Nothobranchius furzeri: one gene and its partner. The protein of the gene in region 1 interacts with the protein of each later gene in a pairwise test. Links are inferred from orthologs where the notes say so. Each region holds a gene or a part of one and is shown on either strand. Other genes may lie near its edges.

What was found.
Region 2: the proteins of zfyve27 (region 1) and fkbp8 interact in binary tests that used the Homo sapiens proteins (3 or more experiments, as listed by UniProt). The link is inferred for Nothobranchius furzeri from reciprocal best matches to the Homo sapiens genes ZFYVE27 and FKBP8.

What each region holds. Positions count from the first base shown.
Region 1 is NC_091746.1:82,341,614-82,350,586, reverse strand, and holds the start of zfyve27 (protrudin), read right to left. Parts: upstream 5,323-8,973; 5' UTR 5,094-5,322; intron 3,724-5,093; 5' UTR 3,722-3,723; coding exon 3,486-3,721; intron 3,390-3,485; coding exon 3,319-3,389; intron 3,216-3,318; coding exon 3,029-3,215; intron 1,064-3,028; coding exon 968-1,063; intron 759-967; coding exon 646-758; intron 561-645; coding exon 442-560; intron 182-441; coding exon 110-181; intron 1-109. Other genes in the region: si:ch211-284e13.5 (neurotrophin receptor-interacting factor homolog), read right to left, coding at 6,573-7,150, 7,315-7,605. UniProt on the Homo sapiens protein: Key regulator of RAB11-dependent vesicular trafficking during neurite extension through polarized membrane transport. Promotes axonal elongation and contributes to the establishment of neuronal cell polarity.
Region 2 is NC_091748.1:52,419,886-52,427,092, forward strand, and holds the end of fkbp8 (peptidyl-prolyl cis-trans isomerase FKBP8), read right to left. Parts: intron 3,365-7,207; coding exon of another isoform or gene 3,281-3,364; exon of another isoform or gene 3,120-3,280; intron 2,716-3,119; coding exon 2,581-2,715; intron 2,451-2,580; coding exon 2,364-2,450; 3' UTR 2,095-2,363; downstream 1-2,094. UniProt on the Homo sapiens protein: Constitutively inactive PPiase, which becomes active when bound to calmodulin and calcium. Seems to act as a chaperone for BCL2, targets it to the mitochondria and modulates its phosphorylation state.

The sequences.
Region 1 (8,973 bases):
ATGACACTGTTTTGAATGAAAAGATTAGAATAAACAGTCTGAAGTTTAGATTGAGAGGGCAAAACTGGGATGAAGAATATTAAAGGGCATTATTAAAATGTGCTTTTACCTCAATGGCGTCCTTAAACTCATCATCAGGTTCAGCCTCCTCTGCTTCTTCTACACTTCCAGGGGAAAGGTCCTGTTTCAAACACAAACCCATGCGGTTAGCAGTTGTTATGAATCTAGCATAGACTGATCTGAGCCCTTGTCCGTCCCTCGCACGGGGGAACGCAAACTTAACGAGGGAAGTGGTTCCATCTGTGCGGTTAAACCATGTAAAGGCCATGAGATTTGGGATAACTGGGTAAGAAGCTTACATCTGTGGAGGGGTTTAATGTAAACCACAACAGCTGAATGTTCAAGTACCAACAATCACATTCACTTGCTCATTTCTCTCACCTCTAGACTAGGGGGGGTTGGCGTCCTGTCCATCAGGCTGCCCTGAGCCTGGTCTTCAGGCAGCCCCTCTGAGGTCTGAGTCGGACCAAAGTAAAAGAGCTTCCGAAGGTCCAGAAGAACTGGGAAATCAGAGTGAAAACAGCAAATAAAACATTGCAATAATATTACTAGAAATGAGTGTTTCTTTTGTTTAAAGGAGCTAACCTCTGCAGAAGTCTCGGTTCCACAGGAAGACGACGGTGTTGAGCCCAGCAAGCACCCAGCCCACAGGAACAACATAAAGCAGACACACCACTGTTAGCGTCGCTCCATAAAACCTGCAGGACAAAAATGAGGATCGTGGTTTAGCCGCGGCATTCACGACGAGGAATTTAACAGAAATAATGCAAATTTACCTCACATTTGACACTTCAACAATAATTTCATAAAAAGATAATAACACACACATTTGTTTCTGTGTGTGTGTGTGTGTGTGTGTGTGTGTGTGTGTGTGTGTGTGTGTGTGTGTGTGTGTGTGCATACAGACCTTGAAGAACTGGTGTGACTATCCCAGTATAAAACCTTGTAAATGGCTTCCGCTGATTGGCAAGCAGAGGACAACATGTCATCCAGGTGCTTCAACCTGTTGGAAACACACAATCACACACACATTCAGTAAAAACAAATAAATGAAATATCAACAATGCCTGATACATTTCCACCAACAAATGTGATTTTCATAGGCCATATTTACTGTATTTACTGAGGAAATTAAACCAGGAGAATGCACAAATTCACAAAGTCCATTTGACTGGATATAATATAATATAATATAATATAATATAATATAATATAATATAATATAATATAATATAATATAATAGTCTTCCTCCGCTTATCCGGGTCCGGGTCGCGGGGGCAGCATCCCAACTAGGGAGCTCCAGACCGTCCTCTCCCCGGCCTTGTCCACCAGCTCCTCCGGCAGGACCCCAAGGCGTTCCCGGACCAGATTGGAGATGTAACCTCTCCAACGTGTCCTGGGTCGACCCAGGGACCTCCTGCCGGCAGGACATGCCTGAAACACCTCCCCAGGGAGGCGTCCAGGAGGCATCCTGACCAGATGCCCAAACCACCTCAAGTGACTCCTTTCAATCTGGAGGAGCAGCGGTTCTACTCCGAGTCCCTCCCGAATGTCCGAGCTCCTCACCCTATCTCTAATGGGCCATTCCCATCTGTACCGGGTCGGCCCGGGCCGGGTAGCGTAGGTTGTTTACATATCTGGGTGGCCTGGTATTTTTCCGGGCCAACCAAGGCTCATTCTCAGCCCTCTTCTCGAGGGGGTCTGCTTCAGGCCGACCAGGGCCAACACACCCACTGCTGACAGCAAATTCACACCTTCCATTAGAGCAAGCCTCTGATTGGTGGGTAGAATCAGCCCACATGGGCTTAAGGCAAGGATGTGTGGAACCAACCGGGCCAGGCTGGGGCCGACTGGGGCTACCCGGCCCGGGCCGACCCGGTACAGATGGGAATGGCCCATAAGGCTGAGCCCGGCCACCCTACGGAGGAAACTCATTTCGGCCGCTTGTATCCGCGATCTCGTTCTTTCGGTCATTACCCAAAGCTCATGACCATAGGTGAGGATTGGGACGTAGATCGACCGGTAAATCGAGAGCCTGGCTTTCTGGCTCAGCTCCCTCTTCACCACGACAGATCGGCTCAGCGTCCGCATCACTGCAGACGCCAAACCAATCCGCCTGTCGATCTGCCGATCCCTCCTACCCTCACTCGTGAACAAGACCCCGAGATATTTAAACTCCTCTACTTGAGGTAGGACCTCTCCCCCGACCCGGAGTTGGCAAGCAACCCTCTTCCGGTCGAGAACCATAGTCTCAGATTTGGAGGTACTGATCCTCGTCCCAGCCACTTCACACTCGGCCACGAACCTACCCAGCAAGAGCTGAAGGTCAGAGCTGGATGAAGCTAGGAGGACCACATCATCCGCAAAAAGCAGAGACGAGATTCTCCTGCCACCAAACTCGACACACTCCACACCACGGCTGCACCTAGAAATTCTGTCCATAAAGGTAATGAACAGAACCGGTGACAAAGGGCAGCCCTGGCGGAGTCCAACCCTCACCGGGAACAGGTCCGACTTACTACCGGCTATGCGATGCCCCCTCCATCACCCTTGCAAGGGTATAGAGCTGGTCCACAGTTCCACGGCCAGGACGAAAACCACATTGCTCCTCCTCAATCTGAGATTCAACTATCGATCGGACCCTCCTCTCCAGTACCTTGGAGTAGACCTTTCCAGGGAGGCTGAGGAGTGTGAACCCCCCATAGTTCAAACACACCCCCCGGTCACCATTCTTAAAGATGGGGACCACCACCCCGGTCTGCCACTCCACAGGAACTGCCCCCGATGACCACGCAATGTTGCAGAGACGCGTCAACCACGACAGTCCTACCACATCCATAGCCTTAAGATACCCAGGATAATATAATAGCTGCTAATTGCTGTAAATATTTGTTTTAAAAAAAGAGAGAGAAAGCAGAACAGGACACACACTTGAGCTAAAATAATTAGCTGCAGCATGCATCTTACAGGTCTTTGACTTCCAGCATGGCCTCCTGTTTGGTGAGGTGAACCGTCTGCAGGTCTTTGCGATGCACAGCGTGGTAACGCCTCTTCTGGAGATCCGCTTCAGAGGCTTTGCCCCCACACCTGTCCTGCAGGTAACCCAGGGCAGCCGGCGCCGATACAACCACCACACTCCCTGTGAACCAACCAACTGATACCAGAGGCAGATACAACGACTTAATGGATCAATAAAAAATATTTGGTGACATCACAATACCACTGGTTTAATATCTATGCTAAATGAATCACCCTACCTTCAGTAATTGTGCAAAAGAAGATGTTGAGGAATATACAAACGAGCAGAGAGCACAGTGGCATCTTCCATCTGTTTGACAAAACGTAAGATAGATTGAATTCTGACATTTACTACTAATGGTCAAAACAACCATATGATAATGTGTTTACACACACCCATACACACCCGAGTAACAGGTGAATGACCTCTACTGCGTCTACAATGGGTTCTAGATACAGAGCCATTCTCTTGTAGGATGTCACCATGTTCAGGAGGTCAAAGTTCAGAGTACAGCGGGGGCTCCCCAACTCAGAGGCATCTGGAGATCCAGGAGTCTCCTTAGATAACGAGTGCACCAGCTCCCCGCGTTCCTCTGAACTCTGCAGGGAGTCTTGAAACGTTCCAGTGTTTTGAGTCGCCATCTCTGGACAGAGTGAGGAAGATTTAATTATGTTGCAGACCTGATCTTCCATTCAGCTCAATTTATAGACAATATAGAATGTGTCAAACATTAATCATTGGTGAAACATGTAATGTTCCAACAGAATTCATGTTTACTTGGAAGAATTAAAGGTTCCAGATCATGCTTTTTAAATATTTGAAAGCAAAAGTTAGGCACAGTATATAATAAAATATTACTGTTGGCACTACTGAGGTGTCATTTATCTTAAATACAAGTTATTTTTGTCAGCGTGAATTTATACCTGGAAATAAAACGCTTTGTTTCAGTGAAACTCCGCCCACGCAGTTTTGCCATGTGCTGACATGGGTTCAAATCCCAGTGTGCAGTAATGTATTTAGCCAGCTGAACCAGATTTCAAGTTTTTATATTTTATTGATTATTTCCAGCAAAATATTTTGTGTCTCTAACATCTTCGAATTTGGTCATTTCGAAGCAGCATTTAAGTTGATCTACTCTACTCACTTCACATGGCTTCACACTGGCTAAATGAACAAAGAAAGTATAAAAAATAAAAAAAAACATATTAGTCCTTACTTTTAAAACTGTTTACCAATAAAGGGTTGAAAACAGAATAATGTCAAGTGTAGCCAAAAAAGAAGAAAAAATGTACTCTGCTCCTTCTGCAGCAGCTCTCTATTATACATGAGGTGGTTTTCTAATTTCCCTGTTTGTGACATCACAAATGGTAACTTTTTCAAGCGAGTCATTTTAGACATTTTGTATATTTCTCTGTTTTTCTTCTGAATGCATTTTTAAGTTATTTTTCTTTGAGTAATTCTAGGCTCATAATTCTTAAAATTCCACTGTCAGAAAACAGATAGACAATTTTAGAGTTTATATAAGCAGTAGAGACCCACGTGGCAGCACAAAAGGATGTAAAAGATGAGTTCTACATATTATCTTGCTTTACAGTTAATTTTGTATTATTTGCATTCAAAATGAGGCAATTTTCAAGGTTCAAACAAAAGGTAAAGCAAGACATACTACACAAAATAACTTGTGTTCAGACCAATATAAATCCAAGTGTACTGTGAATATCTAAGAGCCATGACCTTTATGACAGTCTTTATTGGTTTAACAAAACTTATTTAGATGACCGAATTATTAGAGCTGGCTCCCAACATACATGTTTAAACTGAGGTGATCAGTCCTGATGTAATGAACAGTCAGAAGGAATTCCTCGTCACTCCTGCTAGTCGCAGTTTTGGCCTGAGAAACGTCAAACTGAATAAACTAATTTAAACAATAAACTCTGCTAAGCGTTATCGCGGTAAATTAAAGAACATTTGATCCAAAAATAACTTATCCACTGGGTGAGGGAGATAACTTACTCTGAGGAGGAAACGTCCAACAACAGCAAAGTTGAGTTAGCAGCAGCGGAGGTGCTGAGAGGAGCTCAGGCAAAACTAGCGAGTCCCTCCGACATCATGAGACCGGAGGAAGGAAGAGCCTCCAAACTCAACCCGCTCGGACAACATGACTGCGGACTTTCTGTCAGCAGTTCACGAAGCGTTTCGAGCAGCTCCGGTGAGGAAAAAACAGGTACCCGTAGAGAAAACCACGGGACAAAGCAGCTGTTTGTTTTGTTTTTTGGATCAAGCTAATCTTTGTTAGCTCTGTGCTCTTGGGGACGCTCACTTCCTACTCAAATCCAGGACAACTAGCTGATGGCAGATAAAGACGAAGCCGTTCAAAGCTGTGGTTCAGTCGATCCCAGACCAGGTTTATCGATTGCCGCACAAAACAAAAACTGATCCAATTGTTTTAGATCATGTAATATTAATGAAGCGTATTGTGTTGATCAAAAACGTAAAAACAATTTAAAAAATCGAATGCTTTATTAACAACCTCGAGGAAGTTGAAGAAAAGTTGATAACATGAACAATCTGTAAAATAAGGCAGAATACATTTCAGATGTATCTATCACACAGTTGCTGACAGATTAAAAAGGAGATTTGAACCTGTGGCCAGGTGCTTGAAACAATACAATCTTTTATTAGGTCACACAAACATCTTATTTATTAAAGGCATCTTTAAACACTTGAATGCAACCATGTGCTTTTTCATTTTCTGAAGTGAAAGCTGACTTTTTTTGTTATATTATGTTTCCTTCTAAATCAAGTGACCTGAAATGTTCTCTTTTTGCAATTTCCTTCCACATCAATGTGCAGCATTCCACTCAGTGATGTCATGATTAAATACATCCTCTAAGTAAAACAAATTTGACAGAAATCTTGTTTGGCAAGAAAAAATCTGCTTATTTAGTGACTTTATTTCAAATAAATCAAACAAACAAATAGCACGTTGAATGAAGGGCAAAGGCGCAGCAAAGATTAAATTTTTATTTTGAGCCTTCATGAATACTGGGCAACAATTATCACTTCAGAAAACAAACCCACAACTGCAATTCTAAATTGATTCAAAATCATCCATTTACACACTTAATAAATACCAAAACATTGTTTCATTAATAAATTAGTTAAGTTAGTGATGTGACGTTCACGAACAAGTGGAGTCTTTTGAACGTGCTTTCAAAGAGAACGATGAGAGCCAAGTCCTAGTAGAGAACCGTTCCTCCTGTCGTCCAGTAACCCCCACCCCGATGATGTCACAGACCTCAGCGGAACACTAACCCCCCACCCCGAACATCAGCAGACTGTTTTTTCTACCAAAAGATAATGCAGGAGATATGCGTAGGACACCATTTTCACATTCAGCCTGCATGGAAACTCAGTGACTGTTCATTTTCAAAAATAATAAGTAAAAAATTGTTTCTCAGTGAAGAACCTCTTTAATATATTAAACAAGGACTATGATAAATGCTTGTTATGAGAACGCTGGTGGAATTTGAGCCCACCACAGTTTCTGAAACACTTCCCACACTGTCCGCAGACATAAGGCATCTCTCCCGTGTGGATGCGGAAGTGTCGGGTTAATGCTCCAGAGTGGCGGAAACACTTGGAGCAGACAGAGCATGTGTAAGGTCTCTCCCCCGTGTGGATCCGAAGGTGGGTCTTTAGATTCTCCTGACGGTTGAACTCTCGATTGCACACTGTGCATCGGAAGGGACTGCAGCCTGGTGGGTAGAGCTGCAGCCGAGTCCTGGTGCTTCCTGCTACGGGCTGCGGACAGCGCTGCTGGAGCCTCTGGCGGCACTGGCCGTAGTGGCGCCGCAGGTGACTGGGCAGGTGGAAGGTTTGACTGCAGAACTTACAAGTGTGAATGGCAGCACCGCTCCGGCCATTTTGAACATGGACTCCGACTACGTGTGGAGGAGCTAGGGATTCTGCGGCTGGTTCTGCTAGATGAAAGATGCTTGGAAACTCTGAGGAGCTGGACTGGAGGTCTGGTGGCGGTGGGAGGGCGGTGATCAAATTTGGAGGAGCTGCTGAAAAATTCCAAAGACTTTAAACTGCAGAAATCCTCATAAAAACACAGTTGATGAGTCTTGCAAAAATCTAACTAAGTAAACTAACTTCTGCTTTCTTGTAAATAACATTGTAACATAAGATGCCAAACAATAAAAAAAATTATTGTAATTTATTTTCTTACCCTGATCCAGCTTGTTGCTGAACATCTGGGCATTTGGCTCAATACTCTCCACATCCAGGACTTCTGGTGGCCACTTTATTCCTTCCAGACCTAAATCCTCCTCTTTAATCAGGTCAAAGCAGTAAGGTGCACCATTCGGTTCCTCCTCGGACTTCTCCTGTTTGATGATCATTTGTTCTAAGGTGGACGTGCCTTCTCTGTGGGGAGGCCGTGCTGATTCTGGAGCTTGTGGGTCCAGACACACCGGGATCACGCTTTCCATCTTCACAGCACCGACATGGGAGGAAACATCTGGGAATGCAAAAATAAATAAACATGCTTTGAACATATAAACAGTTTTTGCTTCAATGTTTCAGGTCTGCAAATAAATATTAACTGAAAATAACCAAAACACGTTTTACAAATGATTATTTAATACATTTTGGTCCCATGTGAAAACACACGAGTCTCTCTAGTATTATTTAGAAATGTTAGTTCTGTTTTATGAGCAACACCCTGACCTGATTACTGCCAGTCTTTTAGAAATCACTTCAATAAAATCTCATAAACTAGGCTAAAAGATCTCAAAAGGCAACACATCATTCCCCAATCTAAAGAAATGCAGGAACAAAATAACTCAGAACATCTAAAGCACTGTAGGCCTCACTTGGGTATGGTTAAGGTCAAAGGACATCAAACCATTTGTCAAACATGGCAGTGGGAGTGTGATGATCTGGAGCTGCTTTACGACCTGAACCACTTCCTGCGACTGATGGAACCATGAATCCTGGGCCGTTTCTGTGCACTCACATCCTTGTGAAACGTCATCAACGTTGGCCCAAGTACTGTTCCAATCCTAAGTACGCATCATGGCAAGTTCACTCAAAGTTCCCAGATGTGTTCTTGCTCTGCCCATTGTATTGCATCAATGCATTCTTCTGCAAACTCGGGACAGCAATGTGTCCCACAATGCATTGTGTCACAAACCGTTGTACTCTGAACGTCAGGAGAAAGCTGGTGTCTGTAGATTTATGTCAGAAATACTAATAAAGGAACATTAAGTGGTTTGTTATTGTAAATAAGTGTGTGTAACCTGTAAAATGTGCTGTGTGTTTGAATTTTACTCTCCACAATACCTCAAATACTAATTAGCTAACCCACTAACAAAATAAAAGCAGCGTAGCTCTGATTTGATGAAAAATAAACTTTTATTCATTTAACAGCGGGAAGTGGTATTTTATCAGTTTTAATCAAAAGTGGACCAAATATAATACAAACAATATGTTTTCACTGTTCTTTTGTTATTTAAGGAACAAACTAGACTTTTATTTTTATGGCAGGTCATTTGTCTAACGGTAGCAACAAGCAACCCTTGTTGCCATAAAGCAACAGAGGCCAGTTCTGGTCCAAATGTCATTCTCATCCTCCCATACTCGGTAGAACGGACTTTCTGGTGTCCTGGCCAAGAACATACTCACACAAGAACGTAACGGCGTCCTTGAGTACTGAGAAACAGCCCTGCTCTCTTCCAGAAACTCCAGAAGAATGTCTGACCTTTGACCTTAAACAGGTCAAACTCCACAGAGATGAGGCTTGTTACCAATTATTACAAACACTTGATTTAAAAGACGTTTGTGTTCAGATTTTTACTAATGAGGCCTACTTGTGAGTGGTACAAAT
Region 2 (7,207 bases), on another chromosome or scaffold:
TTAGGGACCAATCCTTGAGGAACCTCACTGACTCCATTAGTAGTTTGCTTAATGTACAGAGATCTGCTAGATATATTAATCTTAGCATTCAAATGTACAAGTAAATCTACTGTTATTAGTTGTGTTGCCAATATTGATTTTGTCAGGTAGTGAAATAAATATTTACTCTTCCATTTATGAAGTGCCTATTATTGTGTATGCTGCACACTAAAAGGGCAATGAGCTCCTTCATGAATTCAGAAATAGCTAATTATTGATAAAAAGGAAGAGGAAAAAGGCCAACAGTTTTACAGTAAAACATCCAACCCTGTAAACAGAGAAAACAAAAACAAAGTGTTTACACGCAGCAGATATCTAGACAACTTTGGAAGGTCTGTGTAAACAGAGTAAAGCAAATTACCCAGTGACCAGTTTGAAATTTCAGTCGCTGATCCTTTTGCAAGAACAAACATGACTTAATGTACTCATATTTTTAAAGGCATAAATGCAGCAAATCATGGTTAACCAGACAAAAACATATTTAATTTGTTTGTAAAATGAGTGTAAATGACAAATGATAGTAGTTTGATAGGACATTTATTTGAGATACATCAAAATGAACAAATAGAATAGAATTCAACTTTATTGTCATTGCACATGGGCTGTGCAGTGGTTAGAGCTGTTGCCTTGCAGCAAGAAGGTCCTGGGTTCGCTTCCCGGCCTGGGATCTTTCTGCATGGAGTTTGCATGTTCTCCCTGTGCATGCGTGGGTTCTCTCCGGGTACTCCGACTTCCTCCCACAGTCCAAAAACATGACTGTTAGGTTAATTGGTCTGTCTAAATTGTCCTTAGGTGTGAGTGTGTGATTGTTTGTCCTGTGTGTCTCTGTGTTGCCCTGCGATGGACTGGCTCTCTGTCCAGGGTGTACCCCGCCTGATTGCCCATTGACCGCTGGAGATAGGCACCAGCCCCCCCCCCCCCCCCCCCCCCCCCCCGCGATCCTAAGTGGACAAGCAGGTTCAGACAATGGATGGATGGAAGTCATTGCACATGTCACAGGTACAAGGCAACAAAATGCAGTTTGCATCCATCCAGAAGTGCTTTAGCAATTGTACAGAATGGTCATTTACATAGAATTATACAGTAGTGCAGTTATGATCAGTGAGTTATGTGAATAATTTCTACAGGTATGAGACATTTGACCCATGTCAGGAGGCAGAGTGCAGTAGAATGTCAGGAACTTTGCTCAAATAATTATAGATTACACAACTTTTGGCTCTAATGCTCTATCATCTAGCCTGAGGAAGCCACACATTTGGTACAGTCACATTTATTTTTTGGAATGAGAAAAAGAAATGCAGAACAACTTTAGAACAACTTCCCATGCAAACATAGGGTCTTCTGAACATTTGGTCTTTTAACACAAATATTAAAAGTACAATTTAATGAAATCAGACACCTTTCCCAGTCCTAAATAACCCAACAGTGTCTGTATTTATTATGTATATGTGGCTAATTAAATGTGTTTAAACTCCACAGCTGTAGGTTTGCCTGCACTGAATGTATCAAAGAAGTGTTGATTTAATTCTGTTAGCAAATAAAACTATAGTTGATGTGTGAGGAGATTTGTTTATTCTCTTTCATGCAGCTAATGTTAGACACGTTTTTACAAAACCTGTTGAGTGTAATACCATCCCAATCGTCTGGTGTGGAGAAAAGCTGAAACTTTAAGGCAGTAAATGTTGGATTGTTGCATTGCATTGCTATGGTTCTGTGACTTTAATGGTGTAGTTTATGGATGATTAAAATGAGTAGAAATCCTTATGGGTATCATAAGGGTCAGTGTGTGTGTGTGTGTGTGTGTGTGTGTGTGGTGTGTGTGTGTGATATTCTGTCCGCCTGTGGATCTTATAGTAGAAAGCATGTAAATGAGAAACATGTTCCATGAATTAAAATTCCATCTCTTGGGTAATAAATATTATTTTATAAACAAAATCAAATGCTTTTGGAGACATACTAAAACTAGTGAATCATTTATGTTAAATATAATTTACATTACTTTTGTTTGAATCACTTCCGATTCCTGGAACAATCAATTTCCAACTTTGCTTGCCAGAGACAAAAATAATCGGAACAAATGAAAATAAAGTCTGGCGACATGTATGTGCACAGACCTACACATTTACAAGACTGGAAATATGTTTCTCTATACACTATTATTACAACTTATTACTTGTAACTTCTCAAACATAGTAGAGAAAAGACGGAGACAGCGAAGAGGTAATCGACCATCTCACATTTCCACCATTGACCAACAGTCAGAAGGTGTAGTCAGACGTGTTTCAGTGTTTTTGGCTCTTTTGCTGCATTTGATCAGGCTCATTTCAATTCCTGGCAGCTATGACAACAGATAGAGCTACGCCACCAAGGGCTACAGCTGTGGCACCAAAAAGCCACTTCCAGCTGAGACCCTGCAGAGGACAAAAAGCAGCATGTTGAGCAGGTTAATAACATTGGCACAAATTATACGCTGTTTTTCAAAGCCTCACTTTGGAACAAACATTTTAACACATGGAGTTTCTGAGATGATTACTCTCTCACCCATGAAGACTTGGCCTGATGTTTCCGTACGCTGCTACTAGAAGGGTTGCCCAGCATCTTCTTATACATGGCCTGTTCTGCTCCCCGCTGCTCTGAGTGCTTCTTCACCAGCTTGGAGAGCTCAGCGTGAATTGTCTGTGCATGAAACAAGAGAAAGGATGCAGGAAATAACCATAAAAGCCCTGTGTCTATCAGTGCTGTTATCCTGATCTGCAGGAGACTGCGTCGTGCAGCTTTGCAACAGACAGACCAATAACAAGTCAGAACGCTCTTTACAGTAACAGACACAAGTGGTCTGCAAAACACAAAGTCATGGCATTTGCTAGATGAATAAATTAATGATTGGGGTTCAGAGAAGCTGCATCAGAAAATCTAAAATGTTTATATACCGGAAAATTCTTGATTCCACTCTTTGCCATCTTCCGAGAAATCACAGGCTTGGACCACAAAATCAGCGTGCTGTTTAGCCCACATGTCCACACAATGATTCCAGGATCTGGGCTCAATTATTGTTCCAGCACAGACTCAGCTGTGAGTCACTTCGCTGCTCTTAAAGCGGGTGAGTGACTAAGCAAATCAATATTATAACAGATAAAATGTTTAAACTTGCTAAGAGCACTTCGGTAGGACTGAGGACCGTTGCTCAAAGTTCAACAGAAACAGTCACCTGAAACTAAAGTGACGTTTGGAGTAAAATCTACTAACATGCATCTGTGAGCAGTGGAGTCTTCGCCCTGATGTTAATATGCACCAAAGTGGTGCATTTACCTTTACAAGAGTGTTTCTGTGGAAGCAACAAGACAGAAAGACAAAAACATTACAACCTATAGGGGGAGAGGAGAAACAAACATTTAGCATCACGATCCTACCAGAACTCGTTTGTCTTACTCTGCAGAGAAAGTCAAAGGCAGTTTAAACTGGAAATGTCAAGTCTGCATGTCGTTTAAGAAAAAAGTTAAACAAGCCAGATAAATAAATCTTTTCTGGCTCATTTGAGCTGAAGACAGAGGTATCAGCCCCTGCTTGGAGGAGAGAGATATAATGTGTCATCTTGTCATTTTCTGTGTCTGTCAAAGCCAAGCTAATTGGTTAGAAAAAGAGCATCTTTATTGGAACAAAAACACACACATTTATTTTAAGGCACCATAGAGCAGCGCTTTAAACTCAACCCCAAACTTTGTACAGGAATTAATAAAAAGTGTCATACCTTAAGTTATTAGAAATTACTATCTTACCTGCTGCAAATAACTTCAAATAAAATTAATCTTCCAAATTTCACAGCAATTCATGCAGCATTACTTAAAAAAACCTTTTACACCACCATTTCTCATGTTGTTTACGTAGACTTCTGTAACTCTATATAAACATAATTATCCGCAGCAGCCTTAAGACAGCACCTCTGGTGTCTCCAAGGGACAAGTTTGAACAATATATCCTATTAGTGCTGCTCACATAATTATTTAATGCAAAGCAGACATATAAAATAACCTAATTTTCATTAATCAATATTAAATTTTGAAGGTGGCGCTGATTTAAGATGTCAGTAATTCATCATTAACCTGTAAGGCCGGTATCTCAGGCAAAATACACTACTATAACAAAGACACAAACTATAAATTGGCCAATATGTCTTTGAAATGGCTCAAGACTTTGATAGCAACACAGGAAGTTAGCCAATGAGAAGGGATGATGAGAAGTGTCAGCTTCCCCTTCGACTCAAACCAGATAATCTGTAATCTAAAAAAAGGGGATGTTGGATTTTATTTTCTGCTCCAAGTTGAAGAACTTTTTCCTGCAGCTATTCTCTTCCAAATCTTTAGATCAAAACCACAACTAGAAATGTACTGGTTAATAAATTAAGCACTTCATTTATCAGACATCATTACAAATGGTCTTATAAAGTAGCACATGATACTACACTGCATGCGATGGCTGAAAAGCGGTGAACAGGTTGTGTGCTGTTTGACAGATTGGTGTAGGACTGAAGTAGGGAGTACTGGGCATAAGTACCAGGCTGCTGCAGCTGATCCAATAAGCCCATACAGTGGAACATGCTCCAGCGAGTGACCTTGTATAGCCAAAGCACCATATATACTCATCTGAACAGAAACAGTGACTAGGCATTAGATACGACTAGGGTGCAGGGCAGACCTATTTACAGCAGCAGCATGAAAACAGATCCTCTGAAATGATGAATCAGCAGAACTTGCTGCAAATGAATTCATCTTTACCCAATGGCCCCACCTACTGGTCAGAATGGGACAATCTGTTCAGCAAGACTAAACAATGTACACTCGCTAGTCACATCACACTATTGGGTACACCTGTCCAACTGTTCCTTAATGCAAATTACTAATCAGCCAATCACACGGTGGCAACTCAGTGCATTAAGGCATGTTGACATGGTCAAGACAATCCGCCGCAGTTCCAACTTCAGACTGTGGAAGAAAGGGGATTTAAGTTACTTTGAACACAGCATGGTTGTTGGTGCCAGACGGGCTGGTCTGAGTATTTCAGAAACTGCTGATCTTCTGGGATTGTCACACACAACCATCTCTAGGGTTTACAGAGAATGGTCTGTAAAAGGGAAAACATCCATTGAGCTGCAGTTCTGTGGGCGAAAATACCTTGTTGATGACAGAGGTCAGAGGAGAAAAGCCTGACTGGTTTGAGCTGATAGAAAGGCAACCGTAACTCAAACAACCACTCCTTACAACCACGGTATGCAGAAGAGCATCTCTGAACGCGCAACACATTGAACCTTGAGGCAGATGGACTACAGCAGCTGAAGACCACACCAGGAGCCACTCCTGTCAGCTAAGAACAGGAACCCGAGGCTCCAATTCACTCAGGCTCACCAAAGCTGGACAATAGAAGATTGAGAAATTGTTGCCTGGTTTGATGAGTCTCGATTTCTGCCACAACAGTGGGAAAGTAGGGATGCACCGATCAGGTTTTTTGCTGCCGATCACCGATACCGATATCAAAGAATGCTGATCACCGATACCGATCACCGATACCGATCACGTGGATTGGCCAAAAATTTTCTACAACATTATAATGAGTGCTACAAACTACATAATCTGGGAATAAAGGAAATGCAACCTAATCTAAAATGGTCTGTATTAGGGTTGTCACAGTGTGAAAATTTAACCTCACGGTTATTGTGACCAAAATTACCACGGTTTTCGGTATTATCGCGGTATTTTTTTTAAACGTGCTACATTTTCACACAATGCAATAAACCCTGTATGTCAGGAAATATTGTCTTCAGTTTGTGTCTAAATTTAGCCTAAAATGTGTTATTTTGTAATTATGTTGTTTATTTGTTTACATTTTTTCCCTTTAGTCTTTAAAATACCAATATTTGCCCATAACTTCTTATTTTATGTCTGTTTGATGTCATCATTTTAAAAATATTAGATCAGATGATACGCAGTACTCAAGTAGCCTTCTAATCAGATACTTTTTTACCCTTACTTGAGTAATCCGTATATCAGGAAATTATTGTCCTCGGTTTGTGTCCTTCCAGTGAGCTTTGCAGATGTGGGAAAATGTCATCAGGCAGTAATCGTTGTTAAATTCATAATTATTCTCGGAGAGAGACCAACTCTTATCTGCCCCTGGGAGCCCCGTAATGCATAGCGTCGTTTCAACATGGGGGTGTCCGCGACACGGTTTATATGCAGGTAGCGGCGCTGCGGCTGCTTTATATAGCGACTCGTTGCGTTCTCCCTCAACCCCAAATCCTCGGATCACGCATTTTAGCTAAAATGCTAACGTTAGCTTGCCTTGCGTTGAGGGTGATGGTCACGCAGATGTGTCATGACATTTGAAGCGTTGCTGCCTTTCACAGACAATTTTTCTGCACGTACTGCAAACAGGATAGCCGTCCATCTTCTATAAACTCCTTCGGCATTCAAATATCCAAAAATGCCCGTACTTCCGACTTTGTCTTCTTTGGGGGATAATAAATGTCCTCCTGAGCGCTGCCGTCTCCTCCTTAGGCCATTATTTCAGCTTTAGCTTCAAGAAAGTTTTGGTCGTAAACAACAAAGTGCGCATGTGCCGCCGGTCCTGCAACTTCAGCAGATGATACGGTGGCTGGTAAGGGTCACCGCGCCTACACCGCAGCCACGGTAACCCACCGAGATAATATAGTTTTTTTTAAAACAAGACGGTTATTATTATTGTCAACTTTTTCTACCGGGGTTTACACTGGTTACCGTGACAACCCTACCTGAGCGGTCTGCTTTGATCTATTTTGAAAAGTCCGATCAAAACCGATAGGGGCGCTATCGGCCGATTGGGATCAAATGCCGTTTCATCGGTACATCCCTATCGGAAAGTAGGATCAGAATTTCGCGTCAGCAACATGAAAGCATGGATCCATCCTGCCATGTATCAACGGTTCAGGTGGAGGTGGTGTAATGGTGTGGAGGACATTTTCTTGGCACACTTTGGGCCTCTTAGTACTAACTGATCATCGTTGCAATGCCACAGCCCACATGAGTACTGTTGCTGACCATGTCCATCCCTTTATGACCACAGTATACCCATCTTCCAGCAGGATAATGCACCATGTCATAAAGCTCCAATCATCTCAGACTGATTGTTTGAACATGAC